3 linked regions of the Saccharomyces cerevisiae S288C genome follow. The protein of the gene in region 3 binds, or shares a complex with, the protein of the main gene of each other region. Each region holds a gene or a part of one and is shown on either strand. Other genes may lie near its edges.

The links. Proteins that work in one complex are often made in the same cells at the same time.
Region 1: POP1 (region 3) and POP5 share a complex: the UniProt entries of both Saccharomyces cerevisiae proteins name them as parts of the nuclear RNase P and RNase MRP complex.
Region 2: POP1 (region 3) and POP4 share a complex: the UniProt entries of both Saccharomyces cerevisiae proteins name them as parts of the nuclear RNase P and RNase MRP complex.

Annotation. Positions count from the first base shown.
Region 1 is NC_001133.9:81,186-85,775, forward strand, and holds POP5 (RNA-binding protein POP5), read left to right. Parts: upstream 1-1,520; coding exon 1,521-2,042; downstream 2,043-4,590. Other genes in the region: FUN19 (Fun19p), read right to left, coding at 1-766; mRNA splicing protein PRP45, read right to left, coding at 2,150-3,289; protein phosphatase regulator GIP4, read right to left, coding at 3,564-4,590. UniProt on the Saccharomyces cerevisiae protein: Component of ribonuclease P, a protein complex that generates mature tRNA molecules by cleaving their 5'-ends. Also a component of RNase MRP, which cleaves pre-rRNA sequences.
Region 2 is NC_001134.8:727,378-732,272, forward strand, and holds POP4 (RNase P/RNase MRP complex subunit), read left to right. Parts: upstream 1-1,507; coding exon 1,508-2,347; downstream 2,348-4,895. Other genes in the region: RIB5 (riboflavin synthase), read right to left, coding at 9-725; SHG1 (Shg1p), read right to left, coding at 2,357-2,785; YBR259W (uncharacterized protein), read left to right, coding at 3,010-4,895. UniProt on the Saccharomyces cerevisiae protein: Required for 5.8S rRNA and tRNA processing; associated with RNase MRP and RNase P.
Region 3 is NC_001146.8:226,471-235,605, reverse strand, and holds POP1 (ribonuclease P/MRP protein subunit POP1), read left to right. Parts: upstream 1-1,910; coding exon 1,911-4,538; downstream 4,539-9,135. Other genes in the region: ADE12 (adenylosuccinate synthase), read right to left, coding at 1-1,193; SSU72 (RNA polymerase II subunit A C-terminal domain phosphatase), read right to left, coding at 5,892-6,512; cysteine protease ATG4, read right to left, coding at 6,752-8,236; SQS1 (Sqs1p), read left to right, coding at 8,507-9,135. UniProt on the Saccharomyces cerevisiae protein: Required for processing of 5.8S rRNA (short form) at site A3 and for 5' and 3' processing of pre-tRNA.

The DNA.
Region 1 (4,590 bases), on a different chromosome or scaffold from region 3:
TCGTTCTTCTTTGTGGTGAGTATACCTTGCGTTTCCGTGGTATCCATTCAGTGTCGGATTCAAACTTTCCTAGATTGTTATTGTAGAGAGCCTGTTTCCTCATATTATATCTTGCTTGTCTATTCAAATTCGGAGATGCTAACGGGGAAGGTAATCTAGAAGAAGAGGAAGGCAGAGGAGGAGGAGTCATATCATCATTGTATTTGGAATATTTATGTCTAGCATTATAGGCCAGATTGTTGTACCGGTTGATAATGTTCTTAGAATATGGTTGGGCCAAATTGCTGAAAATTTTGTATTGAGACAGAAACCCGTAGGTGGCGTAGCGGTACCTTTTTCTTGATAACCCATTGGGCCATACAGGCTTCACGAACAGCACATTCTCTACAGCGCCTTTAGGCGTAGATCCCACTAGCACTGAAGAGGCCATGCGGGGTGAGCCATTGTGGCTAATTTTCGACTCCAGCTTGGGCGACAAAGGTGGCGATGGTATTATATGTTCATCAACCAAGGAGTCAATGCTGCCAGAAAAGCATCCATTGCCATTATTTTGTGAGTTCTGGTTAATTCTTACGTCGTACGAGCGCCCATAGGGTGAATTATTGCTATAATCACTCATGTTTAAACCGTTTTTATTACTATCGTTATTGTTGTTACTTGCTTTCAAATTCTGATTCAGACGTCTGAAAATGGACTGCGAATCATCCTTACCAATGTAATTCATATTTAATTGAGACTTTTCAGATTCAGGAGAATATAATCCCATGTTTCCCCTATAAATGTTACGATGCGCGAATATCCTGTTTATCGATGCCCAGTGTATGAGCCATAACGGGGATGTTATGAACCATGTGGCTACTTTTATAAGCGGTTCTCTTAGGAAGAAGGGGGTTCTTGATAGACCCCTGCACCTCATCTAGCGGAGGTGCACGGATGTACCAACAGTTTTAGTGAACATTATTCACTAAAGAAGCATTGGGCATACTCAGAGCCAATGGCAAGCTCGTTTACCAGTTCAAATATGTCGTTTCATTATCTGTATGACTGTCGTAACTTTGAATCGATCTAATGTGTTGACCCTGTCTCAGGCTCACCCATGGCGGCGCCTGCACCTGTGGGTGAAGGAAGAAAGACGATGTTTGTGAGGGAACTGAATTGGGTTGAAGTTCATATCCTAAACAAACACTTCACCAGCCATGGATGCATGCCTTGTCTTTTCGCAGTTGGTGGCATGAAAATATATATCACCCACCAAACCCTCTTACTCTTTTCTTACCAAGTAACTCCAGTAAGTGCTCGTTTTTTTCTTCTTCCATTCAAACCTGCTTAAAAACCTCGACAAACGAGCCCCCAACGTACTACCACAGCAACCACTCTGGTTTTTCTATCTTGTTGTCTTTAATTGCCTCCTGACTTTGTTTTGTTTTGTTCTTGCTTAGCGCTCTTGAAAAATATTTTACTTTTCACTATCAGATTAATGTGATAGCAATAGTTAGTGCAACAAAGAAACAAGTCGATAAATGGTACGTTTAAAAAGTAGATATATCCTTTTTGAAATTATATTCCCACCTACAGACACCAACGTTGAGGAATCTGTGTCGAAAGCAGACATCTTGCTTTCGCATCACAGAGCATCGCCTGCGGATGTGTCCATAAAGTCGATACTCCAAGAGATACGACGCTCGCTGTCGTTGAATCTGGGCGACTATGGGTCTGCAAAATGTAACTCTCTCTTGCAGTTGAAATACTTTTCAAATAAGACGTCTACGGGGATAATCCGATGCCATCGAGAGGATTGCGACCTTGTTATCATGGCATTGATGTTGATGTCGAAAATTGGCGACGTCGATGGACTGATCGTGAACCCCGTCAAGGTAAGTGGGACCATCAAGAAAATAGAGCAGTTTGCTATGAGAAGGAATTCTAAAATTCTGAACATAATCAAGTGTAGTCAATCATCACACCTCAGCGATAATGACTTTATTATCAATGATTTCAAGAAAATTGGAAGGGAAAACGAAAACGAAAACGAGGACGATTAGAATATATTAATATATAGATGTACACGTATATGCAGTAGTTTTATTTTTTTATCTATAATACAACTCAAGCACAAGAATGCTTTGTTTTCCTAGTGCTCATCCTGGGCCTAGGCGCCATAGTTATCCGATTTATCATCGGATTCAGCTTTAGTAAACTGAATGGGGCCGTGAGAACCACTGGCACCTTCACTCTTAACATTGACCGCTTCGTCCAGCTTTTCGTAGTTGGTCTTGTATATGCTTTCAATATCTTGTTGGACGAACAGTGGGTTGTCATAAACCTGGTCTTCATGCCTTTTGGCGGAGGCATTTGCCCCTCTTGTGAAAAATCTTGAATCGTACTGCAGATCCGGTTGTTCTGAACGCTTTGCTGCGCCCAGAATTATCTTTTCGGATACGTCTCTTCCTTGAGAGTACGCCAGCTCTTTTAGTCTGGCCACTGTGCTCGTTTGCTTTTTGGGCTTAACTATTGCTCCCGTCTGCGGAGTCCCGTTGTGGTATCTGGCTCGTTGGCTCAATTCTTTCAATTTAGATTCTTTAGCAAGCATTTCCTGTTCCATAGCAAGCCGCTTCAATTCCATTTTGGACCTGATCTCTTGTCTTGCCTTCTTGTCAGCGTTTTCTAACGCTTCGGAGAGCTTCATAAACCCATCGTTGATGGTATTATTTTCGTTGTCAAGAGCTTTACCTACACGTCTTTCCAAGGCCACGGTATAACCATTTGGATTTTTCCAGTTTGACACAGCTGCAGGTATCTTCCACTCATTTGGATCAGCTTCTCCCCTATCATTGCTGCCATCCATATGGAGAACAGGCACGACTTCGTCGTTTTCTGTGGGTGCTACAACCTTTCTCGCCTTCTTCCCAACGAACCTTGGCAACAATGGATCCATTTGCTTGGACACTACCTCAATATGGTGGCTGTTGTTCAATAATAGATTCGCGGGTGCCTGATGTGTTTCGGTGACGTACCTTGATGATGCCCTGTTATTTGAGTTGGCTAGTTTCGCATTCACAAGCCGCTGAATGTATGACTTGGTTCTTGCTGTACATTCTTGGATTTCTGCTTTCGTTGGCAAAGGAACCGATAGTTCGAAATTAGACTGTCTCTTTGGAATAAAATCATCGAGCTTAACGTTTTTAGCGATTTGGTCAGTCAATATTGCCGGCTCAACGCGATCTGAGCTCAAAGCCGTCGAAACTCGTCCTTGAGAATGTTTTGGAGGTGGTAGTCTGTTACTAAACATATTTGGTTGAGGTTGCTGATACGTCCTCTCGGCTCAGAGCTGCCATGTGTCAATAACCCCATAATTTGAACTTCTTTCATCAACTTTTTAGCTGGGGAAAAATCAAATTCGTGAAGAATTACAATAATACGTTAAGGTAAAAGATTAAATATTAAAAAATAGTATGAGTACTTTTGAATCATCAGACAAGAACAATGAAGGATATGAATAGTATTAGATATGTATTCTTTTTTTTTTCCAGGGACATAAAGAGTTGTTTTTATAAGGTGCGGAGTTATCTCAATTTGCTTCTGATTTTAGAAGCTATTCTATGCCCGGTCGACTCTTTGATTTCGATCCCAAACGGCATCATGGTAGTTTCGGAGCCAGATTCGCCATTTTCCCACTCTAATCCATCTCGAAGACTTTTTCGAAAGGTAAACCCTTCTTCTTGTCTCAGCGTGTTATATTTGGACTTATGCTGTAGCGGCTTGATCATTGCCGAAGCAGGTATTGGCGGATAATGTAGCACAGCCGGCTTCTTGTACCAACCCACCTTTGTTGGTTTAGGATTTTCTGCCTCTGTCATTGGCGGTACACCAGCAAATCTCACCCTTTTGATGGACAATTCACTGGAGTTTGACTCCGGATCTAGAGTTAATGTCTCTATAGCCAAAGTATCACTACTATTGGCAATCAGGGTACTTGATGATTTTCCTGAGGAGGTGTTGTTTATACTGGATACTTTTGGTGAAGGCGCTAACGATGAAGATGCAGAAGGATTGGGTGTAGATGCACTTTTGTTCATCAAATGCCGCACTGTATCTTGGACGATTTTTTGATTTAACGTCATGGTTGAGGACTGCAAAGAATTGGACCTTTGATTGTTGAGCTTTGAAGGTGGAGCTATTGACGGATGTCTTGTAGAATTCAAATATGAGGTTTGTTGTTTGTTTGTATAGGATTGCAAAGATGAGGATCTAGGCCTTCTGCCGTTGATCAGTTTTCTTTTCTCCGGAGACACCACGCTTTTCTTCGTTTCTGCGTTTTTATTGTTGAAAGTGGTCCTTACAGGCGATACTGAGGGAGACCTAGAAGAATTTGAGGCTAAATGCGCCCTTGCCCTTGTTCTTATGCTCTCTAAAGAGGCCTGTCTTGATGGGCTTGCTGAAGATGTGGGTGAGGGGGATGGAGAAGAAGAGGCTGGCAGCTTTGTTATTGACGGCTTCTTCTTTAGCTTACTTTTCGCGTTTTTAACCTCTAAATACAGAGCCTTATCTCTTTCTAGCTTTTCTTTCAAATTCTCCCGCAAGTCATTGGTT
Region 2 (4,895 bases), on a different chromosome or scaffold from region 3:
TTTTTTATTTATTTATTTAGGTAGTTTCTAACCTTCTCCTCGATAATGTTTGAGATCATAGTATTCAAAGTACTATCTTTCTTTGATATTTGGTTTTCCAACGTTAATAGAATTTGCTTCTCAATAATCTTCCCAGTCAAATCTACTTCAATATTAACCTCGTCGCCAATTTTCTTCAAAGGCATGATAACATTGTCTTGGGTGTGCTTTATCATACTAATATAGAAGGCTCCACCTTGCGAAAGTGGGTCAACCTTGATTATGGTCAAGGAAGTTCCATCTATACAAATGAATCCCTTTTCTACTATGTATTTAAAGTACTCTTGATCTCTTAACTGAAACCCAAAAATAATTGAATTCCCCTCAGGTCTTCTTGAGACAATATTAGCAACAGTGTCTACGTGACCCTGTACATAATGACCACCGAACCTAACGTCTTGAGATACCGCTCTCTCCAAGTTGACCTGGGTGCCTTGAATCCAGGAAGCGACATTACTTCGTTTTATAGTTTCTGGTGATATCCCAACTTTGAAGGAGTCGTTATTAAACTCGGTCACAGTAAGGCATACCCCATTTACGGCTATTGAATCTCCAACGTGACAATCGGTGAGAATACTCCCCGCATTGCCAATAGTAATAGAAACTCCTTGACCTCCACTTTCAGAGTCATCATATGGGTTGTTTTCCAAAACAGTCCCCATGCATTCTACAATACCAGTAAACATTGTGCTATGGTTACGATCTCACCAATTGGTTTGACATGTACGTTAGGAAGTACCGTCTTTTTATATCATTTGGATGGATCTGGAATATGACTAATAGATAGTTCAATAACCTTCCTCCATGGAAATTACCGAAAAAAAAGAAAAGGACGGAATTGGTACCCGGAGAGTACTTGGGCGGCTACTTTAGTTTTATATAAACCAATATCGAAGACAGTGATCTTTTTACAGCGAGCTTGAACACAAAATAACTACCGGGGGTAATCGTTCCCACAGAGGCAACATTAATGAATCCTGGGTTAACATTAATACCTACGCGACAAAAATCAATAAAAGAGATTGCTAGCCATAAATGAAAAAAGAGGAAAAAACATGCAGATTGTTTTTGAGCTTTTATGTCATAACAGGTGTATTTATAGCAGTATGAATAGTTTTACTAGCCAATATTCATTTTTTTTGAATCGATGTAAAATTTTTGGATACAAGAAAAATTGCACAATGTTAAATTTCTACAGAAAGCTCATGCAAAGGATGGAAAACTGAGCATTACTGGCAGCTTTGTGGGGTAGTTAAAGAAGTTTATTCTCCGTGGTTGCAGCTGTGGTGGTCTTTTTACTGCCTTTATATCCCAATTCATCCGCTTTTTACCCGGTCCGTTGATTTGAGAAAAAAAATGGTACTCAAAATAGTATGGCAAATATACTCGATGACATGAATAAGCGGAGAGCAATAATCTGTAAAGACTAAAGAAAATAAGCACGATTTGGACTCCCCTATTTGTCAGAATGGATAGAACTCAAACGTTTATTAAAGACTGTCTTTTCACGAAATGCCTGGAGGACCCTGAAAAGCCCTTTAATGAAAATAGATTTCAAGATACGTTGTTGCTACTGCCAACTGATGGCGGATTGACTTCAAGGCTTCAGAGACAGCAAAGAAAATCAAAGCTAAATCTTGACAATTTACAAAAGGTCTCCCAGTTAGAGAGTGCAGACAAACAGTTGGAAAAAAGAGATTACCAAAGAATCAACAAGAACTCTAAAATCGCATTAAGAGAGTACATCAATAATTGTAAAAAAAATACAAAAAAATGTCTGAAATTGGCATACGAAAATAAAATTACTGATAAGGAAGACCTTTTACACTACATAGAGGAGAAGCATCCAACGATATACGAATCATTACCGCAGTACGTTGATTTTGTACCGATGTATAAGGAACTATGGATTAACTATATTAAAGAACTTTTGAACATTACAAAAAACTTAAAAACATTCAATGGATCATTAGCATTATTAAAACTATCTATGGCAGACTATAATGGTGCGCTGTTACGCGTTACAAAGAGCAAAAATAAGACTTTAATAGGCCTTCAAGGCATTGTGATCTGGGACTCTCAGAAATTTTTTATCATGATTGTCAAGGGCAATATAATAGACGAAATAAAATGCATTCCAAAAAAGGGCACAGTATTTCAATTTGAAATCCCAATATCAGATGACGACGATTCGGCATTGAGATATAGTATACTAGGCGATAGGTTCAAGTACAGAAGTGTGGATCGTGCAGGCAGGAAGTTCAAAAGTCGTCGTTGTGATGATATGCTATATTATATACAGAATTAGTAAGAGTTATTACGTACTTCCATTTGCTTCCTCTTCATAAGAGTTCAGTGTTTCCTGAAGTTGTCCCTTTATCATTTCCAATAGTTTGGGATCCTGTAACTTAGACCGTACATAGACATCCAAGTCAAATTTCTTCTCACCATCACCATTATCCCCCTCCATTTTACTACCCAGCTTTAGGTAGTTGTCCTTGACCAATTGTGATTCAATCAATGCACTGGTTAGCCCTCTGTTTTTAAATATTAATTCTTCATCTTCGTTAACCATTTCTTTAACAGTACTGGCAACTCTTTTCCGAAGCGCTTGTTCAAAAGATTCACTATTCTCTTCTGTATTATTCCATGGGTTAGACAATATTTCTCTTTTCAACTTGTCAAAATGTCCCTCCTTCTTATACTTGTCTGATAGTCTTTTACTATCTTCTTGATTATACGCCATTTTTTGGATTTGAAATAAGCTCTACTCTCTTATACTGTGTTTCAGCTTCGCTAAATAAAGAACTGATTTTCTTACGTATTATTTCTCTAGTATCTCTCGTTTTCAAGATATAGAAAAATAAGACAAAAAAAAAGGCCATCATATTTATACAACGAAAAGTGTTTAATATGGAAGCAGCAAGCGGTATATGAACTCAGTTTTAAGGTGTAGTTTATTTTATAGTCATGTCCATTGACGAGGCTGTTGCCAGATATAGAGATGTTATAGGCAATCTAGCAACTGGCAATTTAAGGCGGATTGTTATACAGTCAGAAAAACTGGCCCAGATCATTGCATCTTCAAAAGGTACCGTTCGTTTCCACCATAAAACTCGCAGCGGTAAAACAGTAATATACAAATGCATCAAAAAGGCGCTGCTTTCCAGTGTCGCGTCTCTATCGTCAGAGTTTTCCTCAGAAACAGATGTTCAGCAATTCCTCCATTTAAATTACATATATCAATCTCACTTCCAAGCTTTGAGTGGACAAATAAACAAATATTGCGGCATGAAGAAATACTACGAGTTAAAGTTTGCAGCAATCGACTACTTAGAAACCGAAGTCCAAACTACCGGGCTTACACTCTCAAGATTCTGGGTGGCATCTTTAGATGAGTTCATTAAAAAAGAGCGATGGCCAGATAATGGATCTAACTTTCAAATCTTTTACAAACTAATGGCTGAGTATTCGTCTTGGAAATGGGATTCTGATGATAAAAGGCAACTCCAGTTCATGTACGAATTTCGAATGAAACTCAAAGAATGTTTGGTGAAATTTTACGAGAATTTTGATCTTCAAAAATCTAGCGATCCTCTGAAAGAACTCATTATACCTTGGGAAAAGATTGTTTATGTCGCCAACTGTATCGATGCATTCACTGGAGAGCAAGTTAGGATCGACGGTGCTGAATTAATCTGGACATCCAAAAATCTTGTGTTCTCTTCGATTTCTTCTGCCGTTCTTAGATTAAATGACCTTCAAAATATGTTCAGCGCATTCCGGCCTTATGGGGAAGAAGCATTAGTTCAAGACTTTGCGCATATACGATCTTTAAAGTGGGATAGTAATGATAAAGTTGAAAGCTTAATTCGTGCCCTTATTTTTAATGATATGTTTCCTTATTTCAATAAGGAACAGGTAGATACGAAGGCAGATGGTATATTCTTTTTGCGCTTACTGAGAAAAAACTTCAAAGAACACATTAATGACGTTAAAGATTTTCATATTCAAGTGATAAAGTACTTGAATTCCCAATTTAAAAATAATTACAGCACATTGATGACGTCATCGAAAACTCAGGATAGAAGGAAAAGTCATAATATGCCTTCTTCTATCTTAGACGATGGTAACAAAATTGGAATGCATGTTTCGCCTATCGATGAATACTCACATTTTATTGATAATGATGAACCGTTGTGGCGAGACAAAGTATATCCAAAGATTTACACAAATGAGCAAACACCTACACCTGACGCATCAGCAATATTTGATTCTCACAAGATATATGCAATTATATCGCTGCTGCGATATTACTTACCTGAGAAGAGAAAGTTTTTTCGGATTTATTATCTGCCCAGTATTTTTAAAAGGATATTATATTACGGTGCAAAGTTTGCTCAACTATATTTCATGGAAGGTTGCTTGGAACGGCTAGTAATAGAATCTCTCCAAATTCTAGAACCCTCTTTGGTACATGCGATAAATAATTTGATCAAGTCTAGCATAGAATCACTCAAAAATGTAACAGTGACAAGTGATGACAAAACTTCATCTGGTGTCATTATTTTGTCCTACAAAGAATTTAAGTCACTATCTGAAGTTAACAAAGATTTCAATGAACCATTTTGGCCTAACCAATCAATTGCGAATAGTTGGCCAGATTTCGCGAATAAGCAATTAAAGAGGGGTCAAATTTTGCAAGACGCATTTGCATTCCACCTTTTTGAAATTGAACTACCAATTATTATCGATACTACAAGAAATACGCATTTGAAACTCGTTTCCAACATGTGTACTACGAGCATATTGTACTTATATAATGAAGTTGATTCCTTATCATTAACTAGCATACA
Region 3 (9,135 bases):
TCCGGCAAATCTTCATACTTTGTAATTTTGGTAATATCTTGATCCCAACCTGGCAAAACTTTGTATTCAACTTCAACTTTACCAAGAATATTCAAGTCTTCAGGGAACAAATCTAGCTTCTTACCTTGAATAGAATATGAAATACCCACTGGGATTTCTTTGAAAGTATCGAGGACGTCTAACTTGGTAATGTTCAAACTCGTGTATCCATTGATCAAAGTTGAGTATTTCAAGACTACCAAGTCTAACCAACCGCAACGACGCTTACGACCAGTAGTGACACCAAATTCAGCACCAATGGTCTGCAGTTTTTCTCCATTTTCGTTCAATTGTTCCGTTGGGAAAGGACCTTCACCAACTCTAGTTGTGTAGGCTTTAACAACACCATAAATTTCATCAATAGTACGTGGAGGAATACCTAAACCGGTGAGGACACCACCAATACCAGTATTGGAAGAAGTCACATATGGATAAGTACCAAAATCAATATCCAACATCAAAGCATTAGCACCCTCAACCAATATCTTTTTCTTTGCTTCAATAGCATTGTGCATGAAAACGACAGAATCGACGACGAATGGCTTTAGTTGCTCTCTTAACTTCTTGTATTCAGCAAGCTTGGCTTCAAAGTCGTATTCGAAATCACCGTATCTTTGTCTTCTCGTTTCCAATAATCTCTTATATCTAGCAACAAATTCCTCCCAGGCACCGGGTTGATCATTCACCAAATGATGAACTCTCAAACCAGATCTAGAAGCCTTTGTGGAATAAGTTGGACCAATACCTTTACCGGTAGTACCGATATTTTTACCATCTTTAGAACGACCTGATAACTCCAATTCTCTTAGCTTGTCAGTCACCTGATGAAAGTCAAAGACTAAATGTGCTCTGGAAGAAACAAATAATCTACTCCTTGCGTTCTTCAAACCTTTAGCTTCCAAGGTTTCCAACTCTTTGAAAAAAGATGGAACATGAATAACAACACCATTACCCAAAAGGTTTTGGCAGTTTGGGTTGACTAAACCAGATGGTAACATATGGAAATCATACTTAACACCGTCTACAACAATGGTATGCCCGGCATTGTTACCACCGGCGCAACGGGCTACAATATCATATTTACCAACCAGTAAATCAACTAGTTTACCTTTACCCTCATCACCCCATTGGGAGCCCAATACAACGTTAACCATTCTGATATGCTTTAAATTTAGTAATGTTACGATTTCCCCTACCTTATCCAACGAAAAGCTTAATATTTACTCGGTCGAGGTAAGCTTCTACAATCGTTTCTTTTATAAGGCAAGTTAAGAAATAAAGAGAAAGTCAAAAAAGAAAAGACTAGTAAGAAAAAGAAATTACTTTTTTAGAAATAATGTTTACTTATTATTATTTACTTTGTTAATCTGTGACTCAATGAAAAGGATCGCGATCAGTAAATGTAAAATCGAGATTATTTAAATACAATTTTTTTCCGTATCTGGATTCACAGGAACAGGTAAGTGGGACATGTTTTCCCGACGATTTGGTCACGAGAGCGAATTGAATGGGACTAATCTCACCATCCGATTCTCTGGGGTTGCGGTAATTGCTGATTCCTTTAAGTTTACAGATTTATTAATTGGTTGCAAAGTAAATTACTATTGACTCTACCGGCCATAAGGAAGGTAGATTGACTTCTTTGCTGGTCATTTTTTCATATGTGATGTGCACGTGACATTGCACCCGGGTAAGAGGGTAACACTGTGGGAAAACTTTTCAGTGAAATTCGCATTAGAAGAAAGCAGATCTGAATTCGATGAGATTCTCGGAACGGTGGCATGTCTTTGAAGAACGGGGATACTTATTGAGCAGCCTGCCACTTGAACATTTGGCAAGAAAGGTGAGAATTGACCTCATTATAATTACAAATGAGCGGGAGTTTGTCTAGAGGAAATGGTGGAAAGAAAGTTCTTAATAAGAATCAATTACTGAAGCGAAATCGCATAAGAAATGCTAGATCAATTAGAGCAGAGGCCGTGGCCGCTTCATCAACAAAAACTGGGACACCGAGTGATCTGAGTGAATCGGGAAGTAAGCTAAACGTGGACCAATTCATTAGTTCTCGACAATTCGAGGTTAAGCAGTTGCAATTGGCCATGCATAATTCCAAAGCAGCCAGCTCAACGAGAATATTTCAGGCATTGCCTCGAAAATTGCGTCGTAGAACGGCTTCGCATAATGTTCGTAGAATTCCAAAAAGAATGCGCAATAGAGCTTTGAGGGAAATGCGTAAAAGTGATCAGCAGGATGTGTTGAAGGGGTCTTCAGCCTCTTCCAGAAAAGCTCATGGCCTAAATGCAAAGCAACTTTATAAAGCTAGAATGTCCATAAAGCTGCTACGATTGGCTAGCAAATCTACTTCTATGAAACTCAGCATGCCACCAGAGGTTACATCATCTAACTGCCACGTAAGGCAGAAAATCAAGACATTAAAGCGAATGATTAAAGAATCATCAACAGCAAATCCAAATATAAAGTTACTTAATAATCGTATGGGGAGCTATGATTGCACTGGTGTCAATGAATTAGCACCTATTCCCAAGGGCAGGGTCAAATATACGAAGAGACAGAAGCACTTTGCTTGGCTACCCACCCACATTTGGAATGCTAAAAGGTCGCACATGATGAAAAGATGGGGATATCAAATGGTATGGGCACCTACTCAAAAATGCTTTAAATTGACGCATAGGTTGGGCGGTGATACCTGCAGCTCCGATGGGGCCTTATGCATGGATTCAAGTTATATTGGTACAATAATTGTAAAAGACAAAAGCAATGACAGTGAGGGGGACTTTTTAAAATCCATTATAGGAAAGTTAACAGCTGAAAGAGCAAACTTAAGGAAATATCGCGAAGGCCAGGTTTTATTCCAAGGGTTAATTTATAGTTTCAATGAAGAAAACGGTGAGGATTCTACTAAGCCACTGGGTCCATGCGACGTATTTTGGGTACAAAAGGATACTGCAATTATAAGGTTACACCCTTCAATTTATACTCAGGTTTTTAACATTCTTTTGCAACATAAGGAAAAACTAACAGTACAAGATTGTCGATATTCATTAGCAAGCGTGACATTGAAGGGAGCTAAAGCTCTAGAGTCATTAGCATCGTGTTTAAGGAGCACAGAGTACTCTAAATCGTTTGAACAATTTAAAATGGTTTCAATGATTACCGATCATAATGCCCTACCACAGAGGTGTACGTTTGCATTTGAAGCCATAGATCCGCGTCATCTAGCTGCTCCAAAGAAATTAAATGATTCACAGAGGAAGACTGTTAATTCTGACGACATTTTATCACTGCATGAAAACTATCCTCAAGACGAAATAAACGCCGTTTTTAACGAATTATGTGACCCTGAATCACGTACTCAATCATACAACAACCAAAACACATTAAAAGAAATTTCTGCGAGACGTTACAAATTGCTAACTGCCACACCGAACAGCATCAATAAAACTACAGTCCCGTTCAAAGAAAGTGACGATCCTTCTATTCCATTAGTCATAATAAGAAGGCTCAAGACCAGGGATTGGATTGTTGTGTTACCATGGTTCTGGCTGCTACCGTTATGGCATCTACTGAACCGGATACCAAGGATGTATCACATTGGCCTCAGGCAATTCCAGCAAATTCAGTACGAGAATAAGCAATTATATTTTCCGGATGATTATCCATTCACTCAATTGGGTTATATAGAAAACTCATTTTATAAAAAGGAGGCCTCCAAGACGAAGTGGGATAGGAAGCCAATGGGAAAAAGGATTAATTTCGAGAAGATCAAAGACATCCATAACACTAAATTACCGGCATATAGCGGAGAAATCGGCGATTTTTTCAGTTCAGACTGGAGATTTTTACAAATACTGAGAAATGGAATTGATTATTTACAGCGGAATGATAAAACCTTAGAACTGATGGACAGTAAGAAGACCGGGCAATTTAACGCTCAGGGTGTAAGAGACATCAACTGTGTAAATGATGTTTTGGAGTTTTGCAAAGATTATGAAGCCAAGACCAAGGCTATGTCGTTGTCGATTGAAGAGAACATACCAGTTGCATTGTGTAAAAATCGGAAATGTCAATTTCGCACTCCTGATAGCATTAGCGTCAATAGTTCTTCATTCTCCCTTACATTCTTCCCACGTTGTATCATTGCTGTATCTTGCACACTACTCGAACGAGGTCACCCAAAGGACAATGCAAGAATATATCAAGTTCCAGAAAAGGACTTAGAGCATTGGCTACAATTGGCAAAAGGGGTTTACCGCCCAAACGGAAGAAAAGATCATGATTTGAAAATTCCACTTCCAGAGGTACATGATTTGATTGGTTTTATTACCAGCGGCACCTACCACTTAAATTGTGGAAATGGTATGGGAATCGGATTTATAGATCATCATGCGGCCATCCGGCAACCAACTAGGTATGTACTGATCAGAAATGTAGGTACCAACACTTATAGGTTGGGGGAGTGGTCGAAAATATCCGTATAATGAACTGAACTGAATTATATGTACGACCGATATCCTATAAAGCTATGTATACAGAGGGCAAATAGCAATCATATCGCGCAATAATGGTCTTTTTGCTTCCTGGAACTCTATACGTACACATTTAGAGATTGAAAGTGGCAACAAATCTTATTATATGTTAATTTAAATACGGTGATCTACGCTGCCATCATAGGGCTCATTGATTCATTCCCTAGCTCTTGAAAATGTCAATGAAATTATTACCCGTCTTTGCACCTTTTTTTTTTCTAAGGCGACGAGTTTTCCATTGGCAAGACGTATAAATAGAGAGAAGAAGTTCCATTTAATAGAACTATTTTACAAACATACTTTTAGCGTTAAAATATAGTTTTTTCTTGAATTTTTTTAAAATCCTCATACTTACCTTAAGATATCAGAGGAGATCAAGAAGTCCTACTGATCAAACATGCGCTTCCAATAGTAGAAGGACGTTAAGCATTTATCATTGAACTATAATTGTTCATTGAAGTCATTGATGCAAACTCCTTGGTCACACACACATACGGCGCGGAAGGCGTGTTTGCTGACGTTTCCATTCCCTTGTTTCAATCATTGGTTAATCCCTTGATTCCTTTGGGGATTTTTGGGTTAAACTGATTTTTGGGGCCCTTTGTTTCTTCTGCCTGGAGAAGTTTGACACCAAATTCAAATTGGTGTTAGGGGAGCTGGGGCCTTTCAAAAGAGAGCTTTGTAGAGGCATTCTTTTTGACTACTTTTCTCTAGCGTGCCATTTTAGTTTTTGACGGCAGATTCGAATGAACTTAAGTTTATGATGAAGGTATGGCTGTTGAGATTATTTGGTCGGGATTGTAGTTTGAAGATGTGCTCTTTTGAGCAGTCTCAACTTTGCTCGTTCCCGTTATGGGAAAAATTTTGGAAGGTCTTGGTAGGAACGGGTGGATCTTATAATTTTTGATTTATTTTCAGAAATAAATGGAACATTTTTCTATTTATTTCTTTCTTAAAGTACTGAAACTTTTAAAGTTTCATGCTTCTATTTTCTTCATTTCAGTCCTATATCTGGTGATGTGTTTTGGAATGAAACCTGTTATACGCTACATTGAGACAAGACATTGTCCAGCTTACTAAAAATACAGTGTGTTGTATATCAAGCTTCTTGATAAAAAAATAGCTATGTGGACAACAAGCAAATAATGTGCTTAAGAGAGCCGCAACAAGAAACGTAATATTATATAATGAATATAACTAGGAAGCTATCGAAGACTTGTGAAAGTATTGAAATTTCACGGATAATGTAGGATTCATGAGGGCCGCTTAATGCTTATGCTTTTCTACAGTAATTGACCGTTTTGTTTAGTAATATGAAGGAGCGTATAATGACGGTAGTTGAGAATGTGAGCTTTGCCACTCAGTTAAAATGTCCATTATACAATCTTCAAAGGGAATGTCATCTTTTTCACATTGTTCTATTTTATCATTGAGCATATCAGCTAATTCCAATATAGCTTTGCTACCAATTTTAGCATTTTCATCATCATCTTTAATGTCAACATTAATTACATGCACTATTTTGTTTAATTTCCCACCTCTATTCATCAAATCTTCACAAACGGCATCAAAACATCTCTCTTCACAAGTGAAAACGAAGTCGAAGACTTTTGTACTTTCTTGCCATTTTTCAGGTGCTTTTTTGAGTCTTCTATTACGATCCAGCATTTGCAATAAACCGTTCGACTTGTAACGGTCTGCTGATTGTGATAAAAGATCATTATATATATCATTATAGGGTGTACCAAATGAGTACACATTAGGCTTATCTATCGATAGACCAGGCAGTCTCACAGCTGAACCTGTTCCGTAAGAGCTAACATTATAGCCTGCTTCTTGCAGGACTTTATGCGATTCCATTGAACGATTGTTGTTTGATGCACAAACTGTGCAAAACTTCAAGTTTGAATTGCGATGACTAGGCATTTTGGACTTCGACACTAGTTTATACCACCGTTGTCTTAATCTTCTTACAGGTGGTCTTTAATTCGTGCCGACTGGCCTTTTTCTTTATTATCTTTCGTTTTTTAAGTTCTTTCCACTGCCGCAGACGAAAAATACGTAAAGGATGATCAAACGAATAAGAACAAAAGAACTGGATACCTCAGTTTTAGGGAATATATTAAAACAAGTATATATGCTTATGAACTAGTGAATTCCTTACACTAGCATTTTTCATCAATAGGACTGTGAATACCTACCGTTTCCTTCTCTACAAGGACGCCTTCTACTTCATAATCTGTTAAATTCGCATTAACAGTGTGTGTGTTTCCCATAACAACAATCTTCTGTTTCTTGCAATGAATATCTTGAAAACAATCATATTCGTCTACATCTTCTGTATTTGTTGTGTGTGGGAATATTGCACCAATATCTACGTAGTCTCCCTCTAGTACTCCGAGATTTTCATTATTGCTTGCATCTTTCTTCATTGAGTTAGAACTTACACTTTCCACGTCATCCATACTACAACTCACATCAAAGTCATCCATTCTCTTAGCAAGAACATTGATAATAGCAGATTCTGCAACTTCTAGCTTCCATTGTTGCCAGTCTTTTTCGCCCTTAATCAAAATACCAATGAGCATCGAGGGATCCATTTCCGATAGTTGCAATTTACCAAATTTACTGGTATGGCACGACTCTACAAATGAATCTTCTACTGCCGGTTGAGGAATATGAGGATCGAAATGTAAAAATTCATTTCCTTGATAACCAAAAAAATACAACGATGAAGACGGCCTACCGCCGGCAATGCCTACTGACTGTGTTGAACTTAAGATACCACATATACTTTCTCTATAGCTCTCATTTACCGCATTAATCCCGAGCTTCACGCCCAACAAGAACAATATTCTACTATTTGGATTCTCAGCAAATACTTTTTCAACTTCATTTTCATAGATATCGCCGGATGAAACAGATACTATACAATCATCGATGCCACATTCGGGGAAGCCATATATTAAAGATTGTATACTCCTTGCCGTAGCTGCGGGACCAAACCATTCACCTGGTCTTTTATCAGAGAGTTCTGTACCTGCAGAAACAAAGTTATGTAACGAAAATGGAGCCTCAGGCGTGTCATTAAACCAATTTACAAATTTTGATTCTCTTTCCAGACTTTCGTTACCATTTACCCTGAAATCTCTGCCCAAATGAAGGATTTGTAAGGCATTCCCCAACAAACTTTGTCCTGTCCTTATCATACACCCCCACCCAATATCAGTGTTAAAGCAATCAGGATTTGCTATATAGTCCTCTATTGTACTGATCGGATTTGTACGTACTAATAAATTTAGACTTAAAGGTGAAGGCCCATCTGGCGCCCTTGCTATAGGAACAAATCTTGTCCGATATGTAAAGTTGACCCTTGATTGTACATCCAAAAGAAATTCCTTTGTGTAAGAAGAAATTTCCCTACCAAAAAGAGAGCTTAAAAACCCGTCACTAACCGCTTCACCGCGATATCGACAGTCTTGTTCACATTGTTCAGCGCCAGATTCTTCGTCTCGCTCAGGATATACTTCCCCTAATACTATATAATCATGATTCATAAGAGCAGCCGGTTCTTCGGACGAGCCTTCAAAAACGCCATGAGACACTTTTTGTACCAAATCCATTTTCCACAGTTGTAGCCACCTCTGCATGTATATCACTCCTATACGTGATAAGAAGTCGTCCATTCTTCATCTACTAACGTTATTGTGTGTATATTTTTACTTTTTTCCTTTGAGGCGCTATTGTTGGCAGCTGCAACGGTCACCGCCTAAAGAATAAAAGTGAAATTTGACATTTTACAATTAAATAAGATCTGAACAAAACAACAACAATTAGGCCTGCGCAGAGTTTCTAGAAGGAAGAAGTGATTTAATCGCAGAGTCAAATATAAGCATAAATTGTTGTAACCGTCAAAAAAAATGGCAAAAAGGCATAGTCATTATCAAGGAAGCAGACGTAGGCATGCACGTGGTAGCAATTCCAAGAAAGCTGGCAGGGGGAATGCTAAAGGCATACAAGGCAGAAAGATAAAGAAAAAACCTACTCCCACTAACAGTTGGCATAACTCTTCTATACCACTAGGAGAAGGTGATCTTGATGATGTAGGCGCCGACTTCAACCCAGGAAGAGCATTCATATCACCAAAAACTATAGAAGACTATTATTTTGGTCGCGATGCCAAGAGCCGTTCTATGAAAATGGGTGGTTTAAGACCAGGTAATCGATATGATTCTTCAACTGACCTACAAGCAGGAAGGGCAGCATTCCGCAAAAGACCTATGCAATTTGTAAAAGCTAAGGAAGTTTACGATCCATCCCACAATATGATTCAAAAACTGAGAGCAAAGAACGAAACAAAGAACAGTGAAGAAATTGTCGAAAGGGAAGCAGACGTTTTTGAAGAACCAGGAAAGATGACTTCTGATGTTGAATATATTAACAATGAAGACAGTGAAAACGAGGATGATGATAGTCAGAATTCACCCTCGACGGACCACTCGCTGTCTTCGAATGAAAGCAAAGTTGAAGATGGTGACCTGTTTTTTGT